Linked DNA regions of Rhinolophus ferrumequinum. The protein of the gene in region 2 interacts with the protein of the main gene of each other region in a pairwise test. Links are inferred from orthologs where the notes say so. Each region holds a gene or a part of one and is shown on either strand. Other genes may lie near its edges.

Region 1 (7,707 bases), on a different chromosome or scaffold from region 2:
GTTAGTGTTGGGCAGGGGTACCTGGTCCCCAGTGAGTTCCCCATCCAGCTCAAATACTCACTCTGCAGCAGATTGCTCAGTGTTTCCAGCCGCTGGTTCTCAGGCATGCGAGTGTGGCCAGGGGGCATGGTAGGGTCTGGCTGGCTATGTTTGCGGGCCTCAGCCTCCTGCCGCCACAGATCCCGGCGCTCCAACAAGCTGTGGATGCACAGGCTCAGGGTTGATGATTCCAGGGCAGATGTTGGCTCCCACCTGCCACAGGCACCCCTCACCCTGGGTGTTCGGCAGTGGGACCTACTAGTGGGGCACGTGGCCCTTCTGTGTGGCATTGTAGTGCTCCTGGGCTTGCTGTTGCTGCTCCAGCACCTGTGTCAGGACTTGCAGCGAGCGGGAATGCCGCCGGGGGGCCCTCTTGGCAGTGCGGGCATTGTGGCTAATGAAGTCCACACCCAGGCCTTGCCCCTGCAGGACATGGCAGCATGTGGACAGACAGCACTGTGTTGTGTCCCTGAACCCCCGCCCCACCTTCCAGCCCCCACACATTCTCTCACCTTGGCATTGGGACCTAGTGGGGTTAGCTGGGGACTGGGGACACGGGGTGGTGGGAGCCCAGGGCCGCAGCGGGAGTGCGCCCGCAGGAAGTGGGCAGGCTCTGTTCCAGAGGCAGGGCTGGGCTCCTGGAGGGCAGAGCATAGAAGAGGGATCAGTCAGGCTGCGGTCAAGGTCTCAAGACCGAGCCTCTATCCCTAGGGCTATGGCCTCCTCCTTTTTGAAGGAGCACTCATCATGATTATCATATAAACATGTGTACCTCTCACATCCTTAAGAAAACAACAAACCGTCCATCCTACCTTAATCCTGGCTCCAGCTACCATTCTCTTTTTCTCTCCTTCCTAGTCAAGCTTCTTGGCTCTGTCCCCAAGGTCATTAACAGCTGGCCTCCAAGCCCTCAAATCCGGGTCAGTTCCCTGGTCTCATCATCCTTAGTCTGATCCTCAATAACTCCTGATTCTCACTCCTGAGATCCAGACCTGACTCTCCATCTGGTTCTTGGACACACTCGCACCCCCTGGGAGTCCCACAAATGCTTCAGCTTCAACACATCCACATATGACCTTATTCTTTACTCTCAATCCTGTTCCTCCTTCTGAGACCTCTGTATGGAGAAATGGTGCCACTATCTACCCAAGACAGAATCTCACCACCATACCCCTGCCCCTGACCTTCGAAAAAAAAAGTTGAAAAGGGGGTTATGTGGCCCTTTATGACGTGGGTCCAGCTGACTTCTTAGCCTAACTCTGTGCTCTTCTCTCCTCACAGTAAACTGTACACAGCACCCCCACTGCCCACACTGCCTCTAGTCTTAGGACTTCTATCTGTGAGGTTTCATCTTTACGGAATGTTCTTTTCCATTCTCCCCTTGCCTAATTCCTACTTGCCCCTCAGGCTCACCCAGCCATCACCACTTCTGAGGATCCCCAGAGCCACCTTGCTGCAGAACCAGTTCTCTCTTAAGTCTCCTGTTACCTTAGTCCCCTGTGATTTTCCTCCCTCCCCATAACTCAGATCAGGGTATAACTGCCTCTTGGCCAACAAGATGGACAATACTTCTGGCTCCCTGAGGCAGGTACCTGCAGCTGGGCCTTGACCCGGGATTCCACTTTGTCATACTTGGGCGAGCGCCACAGAGCCTTCAGGGGCCTGGACTGGCCCTGTTCCCGGCTGCGCTCCTGCTCGCGGAAGCGCTTCTGGATTTCCTTGATACGTCTCAGATTCTCCTTCTCATGGTCTTTAGGTTCCTTCCCTGGGGAAAAGATGTTGCCAGACTCGCCCTGCATACAGCCCATGAAACCCAACTTATACAAGTTCACACACAGGCCCACACCTTGCCTCCTACAGAAAGATCTCCCTGACTTCTCCATCTAAGTTAGATCCTATACAGATACTCCATCTTACCACCTTGTTTCCTTCCTGACGTGGTAATTATCTTCTATCCTTGATTATTTTATACATTTTTATTGTGAGGTACACCATTAATCATCTTATATATAATCATCCCTTCACTTGTTCATTGTCTCCCACCTGGACTCCGTGATGGCCTGTGCTTGTCTTAAACCTTATTGTTTTCCTAGCACCTGTTGGGCCTGGCACAGAGCAAGCGCTCAACAAGTTTCACTGATGAATGAATTCATAAAGCTGATCTACGGTTTCCTGGGGACTACCTCATTCAGTCCTCTCCTGTAAGGAGGTAGTGCATTTTCCCCTCCCTTTATAGTTGGGGAAACACATTCAGAAAGGCAAAGCCTGAGCCGTGGTCAGGGCCGGAGGAGCAGCTTTTGATCTCTTTTTAACCTCGACTTGCCTTGCTGCCCCTTCTGCCCAGAACTTACTCTTGGGAGAGGCCTCTGGGCCTAGGGAGATACCCCCAAGTTGCAGCAGCATGGCCCCCACGCCGCGCCGACCACGCTCCAGAATCTCTACAGCTCCAGGACGGATGCGGGGGCCGCGGGGCGGGGTGACGTCCAGGTCCGCGTCCGAGGTCAGCAGGTCCAGCTTCGGCGTGTTTCCCTCAAGGCGCCCTTGGGCTGAGGGGCCGGACAAATCAGAGTGCCGCGTTCAGTGGTGGAGAGAGATCCGAGGTTCGCTCGGGCCTCGCTCAGCCGCGGCACCCTCTACTCACCCGAGGCCGGCCGTCGGTAGTAGTCAGGACAAAGCGTAGGGTCTGGGGGGATGGGCCCCGAGATGCGGGACAGGCCCTCGCACATGCCGCCGCCGTCGCCCTGCAATGTTGCACCGAGGCCTGCCGGGCTAAACATCTCGGGCCCCCGACCTCCTCTCTGGACCCGGACCTTGACCCCGGCGTTGCCTCCATTCCCGGTCCCCGGCCTGCAACTAGCCGCCTCCGCTCCTAGCCCACTTCCCTGCCCCGGTCGTGGCCCCTCCCTCTCAACACCCGGGCTGGGGGCTCACCAGAACAGCTTTAGACTGCCCGCAGCTGCCACCCGACGAGTTTGCTGTTGCCAGGCAACAATGGTTTCCGTCTGAGGTCAGGGGCTAATACCCCGACGCAAAGGTTCCTGGGGTTTGTAGTTCCAGCTGAGGGTAGGGGCTAGAGTAGTCTCCAGTCGCCCTTCCCACCCCGGCTCTCGCCTCCCGGTCGGTCTCCCGCGTCAGCGAAGGGTGAACCTGTCCGGCCCCTCGGGGCCCGTCCACCTCTTCCCATCAGCAGCCGTCGAGGATGCGCTGACTCTGCGCAGCTATGGCCTCGGCAGGGGCCGAGAGGCGCCCAGGGGCCCAAAAGGGGACGACTGAGGGGCCCGTACAGCTTGCGGAGGCGCCCGGTGGCGGTGCTCAGAGCTCTGAGGTGACCTACAGGTTGTCTAGCCTTCAAACTCTTGGTCGTGGCGCTCTAGGAGGCCAAACTCTGTGCGTCGACCCCCTAACGGCCAGGACAGGCTCCATAGGCGGGCAGGGCCATGGGCTGGTGCCCTTTATTCACGTTTGGTGTCTAATGTTGGGTGTTTAATGACTGATCCCTGTATCATTTGACTGGCCATGGTGACCAGTTACCTGTGTGTCACCTCTAGTGTCCAGTGATGGGAAACCAGTGCTTGGCGCCAGTCCATGAGGCCAGTGGGACCCTCGGTGAAGACAAATGTCCAACAGGACCAGTCTCAGAGCCAGAGCTCCAGGAGGAACCATTCAAGCTGGAGGAAGAGAGGCTCAAGCCAGAGGTGGAGGCACTAGAGGAGAGAAGCCCCAGGCCTACGGCCTCCATTGTGAGGTCCAGTCATGGTCTGAAGAGGAAGCCAGTCAAGTGAGGGGTCTTTCAGAGGGAAGAAGCTGCAGGGCTGAGGGGGGTTGGGAGGCTCACACCCCGGTAGGATTCCTAAATCCTGCAGTCCTGCAGTGTGTGCATCTTTATTCTCTGCCACCACCATCACTCCTCACTCCTTCTGTCCCTCAAGAGTCCTGGTGTAGGGAGCATTCAGAGTCTCAAGGCCTTGCAGGGTCTGAGCTCACATGAGCTCTCAGCTCTGGTCCAGGCTGGGGCCTCACTGACCAGGAAAGGAACACGAATCTGGGCCCAGGGTGTGGGGAGGCAGGGCTATTCCGCAGGCTCAGGACTCAGGAGCCAAGGCTGGAATGGAGGCGGCCTCCTCAAGCCTCCTGTCCCCCAGCCTCCCAGGGCCTAGCCACCAAGCCCATCCTAGGGCTGAAGCTGAGCTGCCACAGGGGCCGCCACAACAGAGGGAGGACCCGGAGGGTGGTCGGAGTGAGCCCTCACCGACTGCCAAACAGCACAAAAAAGCCAAGAAGCGCAAGAGTCCGGGGGCCCCAGTGCTCCCAGCTGTGGCCAGCATAGTATCTGCACCCTCAGAGACCTTGGGGCTAGAGCGTGAGTAGCAGTCCCTGGGCCTTCCTTTTTTCCCCTGCCTGCTGGACTCCTGACATGGCACAGCTTGGTACTCCAGCCCCCGTTCTGCCCTGGATCCTTGCAGGAAAGGTCCAGCGCCTACGGCCTCTGTACCAGTACATCAACTATTGCAATCCTGAGCTGAACCAGGCAGGGGAGGGGGACAGGGAGGCTGAAGCCGAGGTGGAACCTGAGTGGGAGCTGACCCTGGTCCCCGAGGAGGCAGGTGTGGAGCAACTGCCAGCCTTGCTGCCTGTGGCAGGTGAGCTTGGCTCAGGCCTCACTGTGCCCTGCCCCACTATGTCCGTGCCCCCTATCCATGCTATGGTTCCCCTGGGGGAGGAGGCTGGAGAGGAGCCTGGGGGTTTGCCCAGCTTGGGGGTTAGCAGCAGCCCCAAGGCTGAGGTGGATAAGTCAACTCAGGTGGACATCGACAAGATGCTAAGTGTCTGTGCAGCCCCACTTGTACCCCCACTTTCTCCTCAGTACAAATGACTGTCCTACCCCCTGGTGGCTCCCTTCCTCCCAAGCCTGAACCAGAGCAGCAGCCTATGGGCTCAAGCCCTCGGGAGGAGGGGGGAATATAGCCCCTGCCCCTACTTGGCACCTTGGACTTGCTGAAAATAAATGTTTTTCCTTTTCTCAGACTTTGACTCCCCAAATAAGGTGCCTGAAGAGGGAGAGGCTGGGAAGGAGGGTGGAGGATTCCCCAGTGCAGGGTTTGAAACTTGACGGGTCATTTGGATTGCCTAGGAACTCGACAAAAATGTAGATTCCTGGGTACTGCCTCAGACCTAACTGAATCAATCTGTGGGGGTAGGGACTTGTTCTGTGCATTTCAAGTCTCCGATGAACCTGAAGTTCGGACAGGATAATGGTGGGGATGGAGAGGGAGGTGATGAGGAACTTGGGGCAAAGAAAGGAAAGGAACTGGCAGGTCATGGGAAGCAGGTGCATGGCCTTGCTGTCTCCTGGGAAGGGGTCTGCATTCGGTCTGACCTTCAGGGCACCAACACTTGGGATTCTCCCCTCTGAGGTGGCAGAGTCCATTCGCCTGCCCAAGAGTGGAAGCTTTGGGATGCTTTCCACTTATTGTTAGATCACAGCTGGACCACACTTTGCCCCCAGAGTGGCCCCTGGTGCCTATTTCCTGGCAGGCAGAGAGTGGTGGTGGTGGTGAATGGTCTCCCTGGAGCCCTGAGGCCAAGCCACCAGATAACTGCTGCTTCTCATCCTCAGGGGTCTCTGGAAGAGGTGGCCAGTGCCGGCCATTTGGAAACCCTAATACCCTGCTGTCTCCTCGTCCTACTGCATGTCCCTCAGACACCTTAAAAACAGAATTTCAAATTAAACGAATAATTCCTCCTCCTCTCAACCTGCTTTTCCTCCTGTATCTCATCTGCGCAATCATTCAAGCCAAAATCCTGGTGTCACCCCAGACCCCATCCTGTTCTTTGCTTGTTGACTCCTACAAGCTAATCAATCATCAAGGCTGGTGAACCTACGACACACACATCCAAACCCCGGATGGTGTTGCTCCCCGTCTAGTACTCTCATCTAAGCCCAGCTGCTTGTAACTTTTCAGTGGTTTCCTATCATTCCCTGACCAGCCACACCTTTTCTTACCTTCAGTCTCTGCACATGGGGCTTCCCTGTCTAAAATGCCTTTATTCCCTCACCCCTCCACTTGGCTAGTGCACATGCACCCGTGAAGATTCAGGGCACCTTGCTTCCTGCGGAGCTGGGCAACTCCCAGTGTTGCCCTGCATTAAAGTAGCCACATACTACTGTCCTTGTGGGTCACAGCTGTCTTCAGGATGAGACTGAACTCCCCAAGGGCCCGTGTCATTGCATCACATCCACTAGCAGAGGACCCCCATAAAAAGCATAAAAAGATAAGGAGACCAGGTGGGGACCTGAGGAAGCTACAGAGGGATAGGTCAGGATCTGAAAAGCGGAGGCCATCCAACGTCCAGAGCCATGTGTGGGACCTGGAATAATGGCCTGGCAAGGTCATTGGAAGAGAGAAAACGGGCATCAGCACGGGATGCTCCCTCCTTTAGGGGTCGCTTGGATGCTCACCAGCCCCTTGGCAAGGCCACAGGGCAAGCTGTGCGTTCTGGACATATTTCTTCTTCCTGTTGACACTTTTCCCTGGTTAGTGATTTGACCACCCCAGGAAATACTGTCCACAGAGACCATGCAGACTGAATATTGTCCACAGGGATGAGCATGGATTCTCAGGGATTTTTCAGAGATAGAGGGTCCTTCAAGATTACTGAGCTTGACCTCCTCTTTTTATGGCTGAGGAAGCAAAGGCCTGGAGAGAAGTGGCCTTGTATGAGACCACACCCTGGGCGCCAGGGAGGCCCCGCCCCTTCCTGAGCCCTGCAGATCTGTGGATCTGGGGGCTCTGGTGAAGACCTGACCCAAAAAGGCTGAGCATCTGCTTTCTCTGTGTGGTCTCCAGGGCTAGAGGTGTGGACCAGGCCAGCACTGATAAGGAAGCTCTGTCCTTACCTTCCACAGGTGACAAAGGACACACTCAGTAACTATAGAAGAACGAGGCTACATTTCCCGACACAAAGGAACAAGTCACCACTACTGCTCCTAGACGCTCACTCTAAGGGAAAAATGCCGAAGCAGCATGGTGCAGAGACATGTGCCATGGAAGACCTGAGGAGCAAGACTGTGGAACCACAGGTGGCGGAGGTGACTTGTCACTATGTCTAGGGAAGCAGTGAAGAGGCAGGCCTCTAGCTGACTCCTGAAGGAGAGCTGGGTGGCCTTCCAGGCAGAGGATATGCCAGGCACGAAGCCTTGCTAGTGTGGAAGATGGCAGCTCCATGCAGGAGGGCCACTTAGCATGGCGGAAGCAGGCCACCAGGAGACCAGGTTGGGTGAATCTGGGAGTGATGAGGGAGGGGTGTAGGTAAGGAGGGCTCTTGGCCTGACATTTTGGAGATGTCGCTTGGGCAGCAGTGTGCAGGACAGTGTGAGAAAGGGAGAGACTGGGGACAGGGAGGTGAGGAGACTACTGCTATTGTCTGGATACGAGGTCTCGATTTGGAAAGGGGTTTCCAAAATAAGCAACAGGTATTTTGGAAGTTCTCTTCTGGTTGCCATACCACAGAGGAAAAGTTAACCACATTTTCTCTGGCTTGGAAAAACTTTACTTTGACCCAAGGAAGATCCTGAGATTTGGGAATCAGGTCCTGGGAGGTGATGCTGTCTTCCTCCAGGAGAGGGCGCTGCAGGACAAACCTGGAACCAGTTGTAGGCTCAGTCAC
Region 2 (7,216 bases):
CAAACCATTGGCTGTTACTTCCCACATCATGAGTATACTCAATCAGCTAGATAGAAATTTCAATCAAGCCATCCAAAGATGAAACAGCTCAAAAGACAATATCCACCTTAAAGTACTGCAAATAGTATTTTATGTATTTATACTTTTTTACTCAGTGTCCAGAACTGTCTGGACATTCATCCCTTCCCTAGCCTTTTACACAGTATCAAAGAAGGGTTGCATCGCCTTTCTTTTCTCACTTCTTAACTCTTTTGTTCTGCAGCTTTAAAGGCATGAGAGAAAGTAGGAGCAATAACAGTTTAGCAAAGTCTCAAATAAGTCTCTAATTAGTCTTTGAGGTAAAACTAGTAAAAAAGCAAATAAAGTATGTGTAGGAATTTGAAATTTAACCCCAAAACACTACAGTATACATTACTTGATATTACGTACTTACACTTTTCTAATATAGCCCATCTCAGTTAATGATTTCACCACCAATGGAAAGATTGAATAGTCATTTTTGAAGTCTTTTTTCCACATAGCAGCGGTTAGTAAACTATGAAACAAGAAACGAGGGAGGGAAAGAGGGAGAGCAGGAAGGATGGCAGGCAGGCAAACAAGCAAGCCAGCAAAAAAGGAAGAAGGAATGAAGGGAAGAAGGGAGGGAAGGAGGGAAAAAGAAAGGAAAGGAAGAAAAAGTAGGCAGGGAAAGAAATAGAAAAAGAGAAAGCAAGCAAGAAAGAGAAGGAAAAAGAATGAAAGGAGGAGGGAAGGAAAGGAAGGAAATACAACAGAGACTGTATATGGCCTGAAAATCCTAAAATACAGGCAGTCCTAGCTTCACACAGTACTGCTTTAACTGAAACCCAGACTACAAAGCAAGGACTACCTATACTTCTATATTTACTATCAGGCCCTTTATGAAAAATTTGATGACCCCTACAATAGAGGATATCCAAATGGTCAATAAATACATGAAGAGGTGCTAAATATTATTAGTCATTAGGGAAATCTGCGAAAAACCCAATGTGATATTACTATTTAACCACCAAAATGGCTAAAATAAAAAAAGATAATACTAAGTATTGCAAGCATTTGGAGAAGCCAGAATTCTGAAACACTGCTAAAAGGAGTGTTAACTGACAAAACTAATTTGAAAAGCTTTTGGTAGTTATTCCAGAACTACATACCTGCATATCCCGTAATATAGCCATTTCATCAGTAGGTATATATATTTCCAACAGAAATGTATACATATGTTCACCAAAGTAATTATAAAAATGTTCATAGAAGCCCTATTGTTAATAGCCAAAAACTGGATGGACTACTATACAGCATAAGAACAAACAAACTGGGTGGCCTATTAGTTCAGCTGATTAGAGCATGGTGCTGGCAGCATCAAGGTTGCTGGTTTGATCCCTGTATGGGCCACTGTGAAGCTGTGCCCTCCTTAAAAAACAAAAACAAAAAACTACTGCTATACAACTTGTATAAATGTCACAAACACAATAGTAAGCAAAAGTGAGACACAAAGGACTATATAGTGTATGATTCCATTTATACAAACTTGATCGGTAAATTCATAAATGAAATTAAAAATCGAGATAATGATTACCTTTGGAACGGAGGCACAGAGTGAGGCTTCTAGAATGCAAGTAATGCTCTTTGTTGTCTAGGCATTAGATATAATTTGTGAAAATTCAATGAGCTGTACACTTAATCATTCATGCACTTTTCTGTAGGTCTATTATCCTTTAACAATTAACACACTAAAAAGATACCTATAAACTCTGTTCCTCTGAGGTAAAATTGTATACTTCTCCGTTCACTTTTCTGATTTGCTATCATTTCCTCTCCCAATGAGATACCTTAATTCCTGTTACCTAATATAGAAGTCAGCTTTGTTTTAATTAATTTTCTTGGTATACTATTGCATAGGATACCCAAATGAATATATAACAGTCATTTTAAGTTAGTTCCACACTAGATCCCTAGGAGAAACTCTGAAAAGCCGACACCTTGTGACAGTATGTTATTATAAAATTATCTGAGGAAGGAAAAAAAAACCTCCTTGAAATGTAGTTTTGTTTGGCCCTTTGTTTTGTCTTACCTTTGTTTACTACCACTGTGATTTAATCTGCATAAAATGCTCAAAGGAACTTTTCAAAAAGCCTGTTCTTGTGGCAAGTTTTTCTTTCTACCATCCCGACTAATAACGCTATCTTGTGTTTATCCAGTTCCTTCCATCCATGGAGTTTAAAGTACTTCACAAATATTGGTGGGTGGTTTCATCTTCCAATTAGAGAAATTTGGGCCCAGAGACCAAAAATATTCTAACAGTATCTTTCTACAGCACGGTGCCTAAAGAAGTATCGCACTCTTTGCAGAAACTTACAAGTGTGAGACCTGAAATACAAACCGATTAGGTGACTCTCAAGGGCACAGAGTCAATCAGGTAGAACCAGGACCTGTACCCTCTAACTCACCGCCACTTAAGGAGAAAACAAACAAAAACCTATACCCTGAATAAACCCTCAGCTGCTGAACTCTTGTAATAGGAAACCGAGGAAGATGCCGAAATCATACTCAGAAAGAGGACCTGTGGACCCCACGACGCTGACCTTCCCGGGAGCCTCATCACTCCCAGCTGCAGGGGCCAACATTCACTGGGCGCAGATCCGCGGGGCCCCTTCACCTTCTCCAAGGGGGCTGCAGCCGGAATTTCCAGGGCTGGTCCAAGCCCACCCCTCCTTTCTCGGGTCTCCCAAGCCTCCCAGGCTACCCGTTTACCTGAGAGGCGCCCAACACCGCCCCAGAGCCGACTCTGCCCGCTCGCCCAGAGTTTCTCAGGCCCAATGCGCAGCCACCGCGTCAGCCAATCTCCGCCAGCTCGGCCCGTCCCCGAGCTCCCCCGCACCAGGAGCTGCGCGCGCCCGCAAACAAGCGGGAGGGGCGTGGCGGCGTGGTGAGCCAGCCGCACGCCGCGCGTGAGGGCCCACGGGGGACGCAGGCGGGACCGGCGCCCGAGGCAGAGGCAGGCGGCGCGAACCGGGCATGCGCGTGTCCCGCTGGTAGGGCCGCGGGGCGGGGTCTCTGGGCGAAGGAGCGACTTTAGAAAGTCTTCACAAGACTTGCTAGTCTTCCGCGGTGGCTCCAGCGGAGTGCTACGATTGTGGGGTCCCCGACGACGGGCGCGATCTGCGAGAGCAAAGTATTGTGTGGACCTTCGTATGGTTAGAGCAAGAAAACCACGTGGTTAAAAACGCGTCTTGTGGCCTCAACTTGAGCGCTGCCGAGTCTCCACTGGACCTGGCAGAATTGTAGTTTCCTGTTTTGTGTGTGGTTTGAGGAGAGAAGGAGAATGAGAATGGGATGTCAGGGAGAGATGAGAGGGGAATTGCCAAGTGATGACTGAATGAAAAGGACCGAAGTTGGACTCCAATTGGGTGAGCAAAAAGCAGTACTTAGCTCCTGGCCAAGGAATGTTTCAGACCTAAAGTTGGAGGAGGTAACCCTTCTACTTAAGCATTAGAAAGACGTATGATGCTTACGTTCAATATGTGGATTCTTTAAGACAAAATGTTGAACCTTCCATAATTAAACAAAAAATTAAGTTCTCAATTCGTGTACCTCCGTGTTGAAACAAGAAGGGACTGGCATAATTAATTAGCTGCTAGTAATTCAAATGTGGTTTTCATATTCCACAGATCAGTATTGCCTTTATAAATGTCACGTTAACTCCTTAAGACACCAAATATTTCATTTTATTCCTTCAGATACCAAATATTTATTGCACACATACTATGTGCTAGATACTCTTTTGGGTATTGGGTAATTGTTTCCCAAGTTAGTAGTTAAAGTTAGTGAAAGGAACTAAGTGTGAAAAAGAGGAGTAAATAAAGAAGACATGAAAAAATTGGATGTATTATAGTTGGAAAAAAATAGGTCATAAAATTCACAAACTCTTTATTATATTTCAATGAATGGGCATTGCTTTGAAGAGGTTTGTTATAGAATAAGTTTTGAAATGCATTTTTTTCATTAATTCAGCTAAGGTCTTTAATTCAGTCAAGATATTTATGGACACAAAGTACCATAAAAATATATAAGAAAGTAGAGGAGTGGTATAGTTTGTCAGAGTAGATGGAAAGGGAACTCCAATCACGAAGAATAATTTTTGAAAAGGTTTAGGACCAACTCAAATTATGCGTAAAAGAAAGGAGGGAAAATTGCTTTTCTTAGCTAAGGAATAACAAGAAATAACAGGGAATGGTGACCACAACATTAAGAAAAGTCAAAACAAATAATGAATTTATAGATTAAATTTAGAGAAAGTGGTTATACTATTTTTCTTTGGGTAGAGATACATAATCCTAGTTTTTTAAAGTTCATTACCTGGGTGGTGAAAGTCTCCAGGGTAAACAAAAAACCCATGTTTCCTTTCCTGTTTTTTCCTTCTGCCTTTTTTATTCAATGAGTCAGTCAAACATTAGGCCCTTTCTCCCTAGTCCTTCCTCCAACTTACGCGAGGTAACTCTTTTTTTGTAGTCTATTTATTTATTTTTTTCACTTACAGTTGACTTTCAATATTATATTAGTTTCAGGTGTACAGCATGATGGTTAGACATTTATATAATTGACAAAGTGATCCCCTGATAAATCTAGTACCATACATAGTTATTACAATATTATCGACTATATTCCCTTTGCGGTATTTATATCCCCCACTGTCAATTTGTACTTCTTAATCCCTTCACCTTTTTCACCCAGCCCTCTAACTCACCTCCCATCTATCGGGCAACTATCAGATTGTTCTCTGTATCTATGAGTCTATTTCTCTTTTGTTTGTTCATTTGCTTAGTTTTTTAGATTTCACATATAAGTAAAATCATGTGGTATTTGTCTTCTGAGGTAACTCGAATGCTCTTTTCCTGACCTTTCAGACCACAACAGCTAATTTTTTCCTAATTCCCTTCCACCACCACCTTCACTCACATATATATACATTTCTTCATTTTCCATCCTGCTAACAGTTGCCAGTCTACAAGAAATGAAAGAGACCAATTAGAGCTTTCTTTCCTGTTCTCAAGGATGTTGAGGTGATACTGTCAATGCCCTCATCTCTCATATAAGTTAGGCTTTTGCAGAAATATGGATAAGGATGAGAGGGAAAAGAAAACAAACACCTCTTTCACTATAGGGAGCAAAAGAATGTCAGATGGTGAATACTCTAAAGTCCAGAAACATCATCAGCCTCCCACAATGTGGTGGGCACTTCAGTCAGTTCTAGAAATAAAATAATGAATAAAAATTATACACACAAGTAGCTGAGAATGCCATGTATAGTAGTGGGGTTCTCCAGAGAAACAGAAACAAGATTTTATGTTTTTTATTGTATGGGATATCATTTTAATGTGCAATTCCCTGATGATGTAATGTTGAGCATTTTTCATATGCTTATTTGCCATGTTTATATCTTCATCGATGAGGTGTATGTTCAGATCTTTCGTACATTTTTTATTGTTTGGCCCATAATTGTGTTACTTGTGTTCTTATTACTGAGTTTTAAGATTTCTTTGAATATTATGGATACATATCCTTTATTTGTTTTGTAAATATTGGCTGCCAGTCTGTGGCTCGTCTTTTCATTTTCTTAATAGTGTCTTTAACAGCAGAAATTTTTAATTTTAATGAGGTCCAACTTCCCAATTTTTCTTTCGTGGATTGTGCTTTTGACATATTTTTAAAATCATCACCAAACCCAAGGTCACCTACACTTTCACTCGTATTATATTCTAGGACATTAATCACTTTGGATTTTACATTTAGACCTATGAGCCATTTTAAGTTAATTTTTGTGAAAGGTATATAGTCTGTGCCCAGATTTATTTTTAATGTGGATGTCCAGTTTTTCCAGCACACTCTGATGAAAAGACTATCCTTTCTCTGTTGAATTATCATTGCTCCTTTGTCAAAGATCACTTGGTTCTATTTGTGTGGGTCTATTTCTGGGATTTCTATTCTGTTCATTTGACCTATTTATCTTTTTTTTCCCCATCAATACCACACTATCTTGATCATTAGAATTTTATAGTAGTCTTAAAGGTGGGCAGTATCAATTTTATGACTTTGTTCTTCTCTTTCAACTTTCTGGGTCTTTTTCCTCTCCATATAAACTTTAGAAACAGTTTATCAATAACCACAAAGAAAATCTTGCATGGGTTTTGATTGGGATTGAATTAAATCTACAGATCAAGTTGGGAAGAACTGGTACCTTGACAATATTGAGCCTTATTTTCCGTATACTTTTGACCTTTGAACAACATGGGTTTGAAATGCATGGGTCTACTTATACATGGATTTTTTTCAATAAATATATAGTGGCCCTCTTTATCCCCAGGTTTTGCATTCGTAGATTCAACCAGTTGTGTATAGGGAGAATCAACCTCTAACCCCTGGGTTGTTCAAGGATCAACTGTACATGTAATATCTCTTTTTATTTCCATTTCCTTTGGTGTTTTCATCAGTTTTGTAGTTTTCCTTATATAGATCTTGTTCATATTTTGTTAAGATTTATACCTAAGTTTGTCTTTTTTTTTTGGTCTAATGTAAATGATATTGTATTGTTAATTTCAGATTACAATTGTTCATTTCTGGTATACAGGAAAACAATATTAAGTTGTGTCTTAACAACTTTACTATAATCACTTATAGGTTTTCTTTGTTGATTTAAAAAAAAGTTTTGTGTAGATAATCATATCGTCTGTGAACAAAGACAGTTTTATTTCTTCTTCTCAATCTGTTTACTTTCATGATTCATTTTCTGTTGTCATGCAGCAGCCTAACTGTCTGTCCCCTCATGCCTATCCCTAAAGAACAAAGAGTCTGTGAGACTGTTCCTTTCAGGGACTTTGCTTCACCTTTGTGCTTACACTTCATGTCTCTCTGTTTGGCTCCCAAAAGATGGTTGGTCAGCCAATGATGGGTAAGATTCCTCACGGGAGGAACAACCCACGCCAGGTGGAACCACATGGGGACCACCAGGAGAACTCACGGGGTAGATAGAGGTGGGCACAGGCCCCAACCTTCCCCTGGCTAAGGAGAGCTTCTGCCTATGTGGCTCTATTCCTTCCCACAACCTGCTTGGGAAGTGAGTCAATGATGTGATAACATCAGTTCTCCTTCCATTCTTAACAATAAGTTTTAGCATAAAGGATTTGTCCCTGGGAGGCACATA

Evidence for each region.
Region 1: the proteins of MIPOL1 (region 2) and ENKD1 interact in binary tests that used the Homo sapiens proteins (3 or more experiments, as listed by UniProt). The two-hybrid records come from large-scale screens. The link is inferred for Rhinolophus ferrumequinum from reciprocal best matches to the Homo sapiens genes MIPOL1 and ENKD1.

What each region holds. Positions count from the first base shown.
Region 1 is NC_046298.1:17,287,685-17,295,391, forward strand, and holds the start of ENKD1 (enkurin domain-containing protein 1), read right to left. Parts: upstream 3,001-7,707; 5' UTR 2,817-3,000; coding exon 2,681-2,816; intron 2,586-2,680; coding exon 2,391-2,585; intron 1,805-2,390; coding exon 1,632-1,804; intron 678-1,631; coding exon 552-677; intron 463-551; coding exon 299-462; intron 199-298; coding exon 62-198; intron 1-61. Other genes in the region: C15H16orf86 (uncharacterized protein C16orf86 homolog), read left to right, coding at 3,260-3,364, 3,588-3,817, 4,167-4,399, 4,503-4,912. UniProt on the Homo sapiens protein: Microtubule-binding protein which regulates microtubule organization and stability. Promotes the stability of astral microtubules and facilitates the proper orientation of the mitotic spindle.
Region 2 is NC_046289.1:85,022,445-85,029,660, reverse strand, and holds the start of MIPOL1 (mirror-image polydactyly gene 1 protein), read right to left. Parts: upstream 3,015-7,216; 5' UTR 2,770-3,014; intron 1-2,769.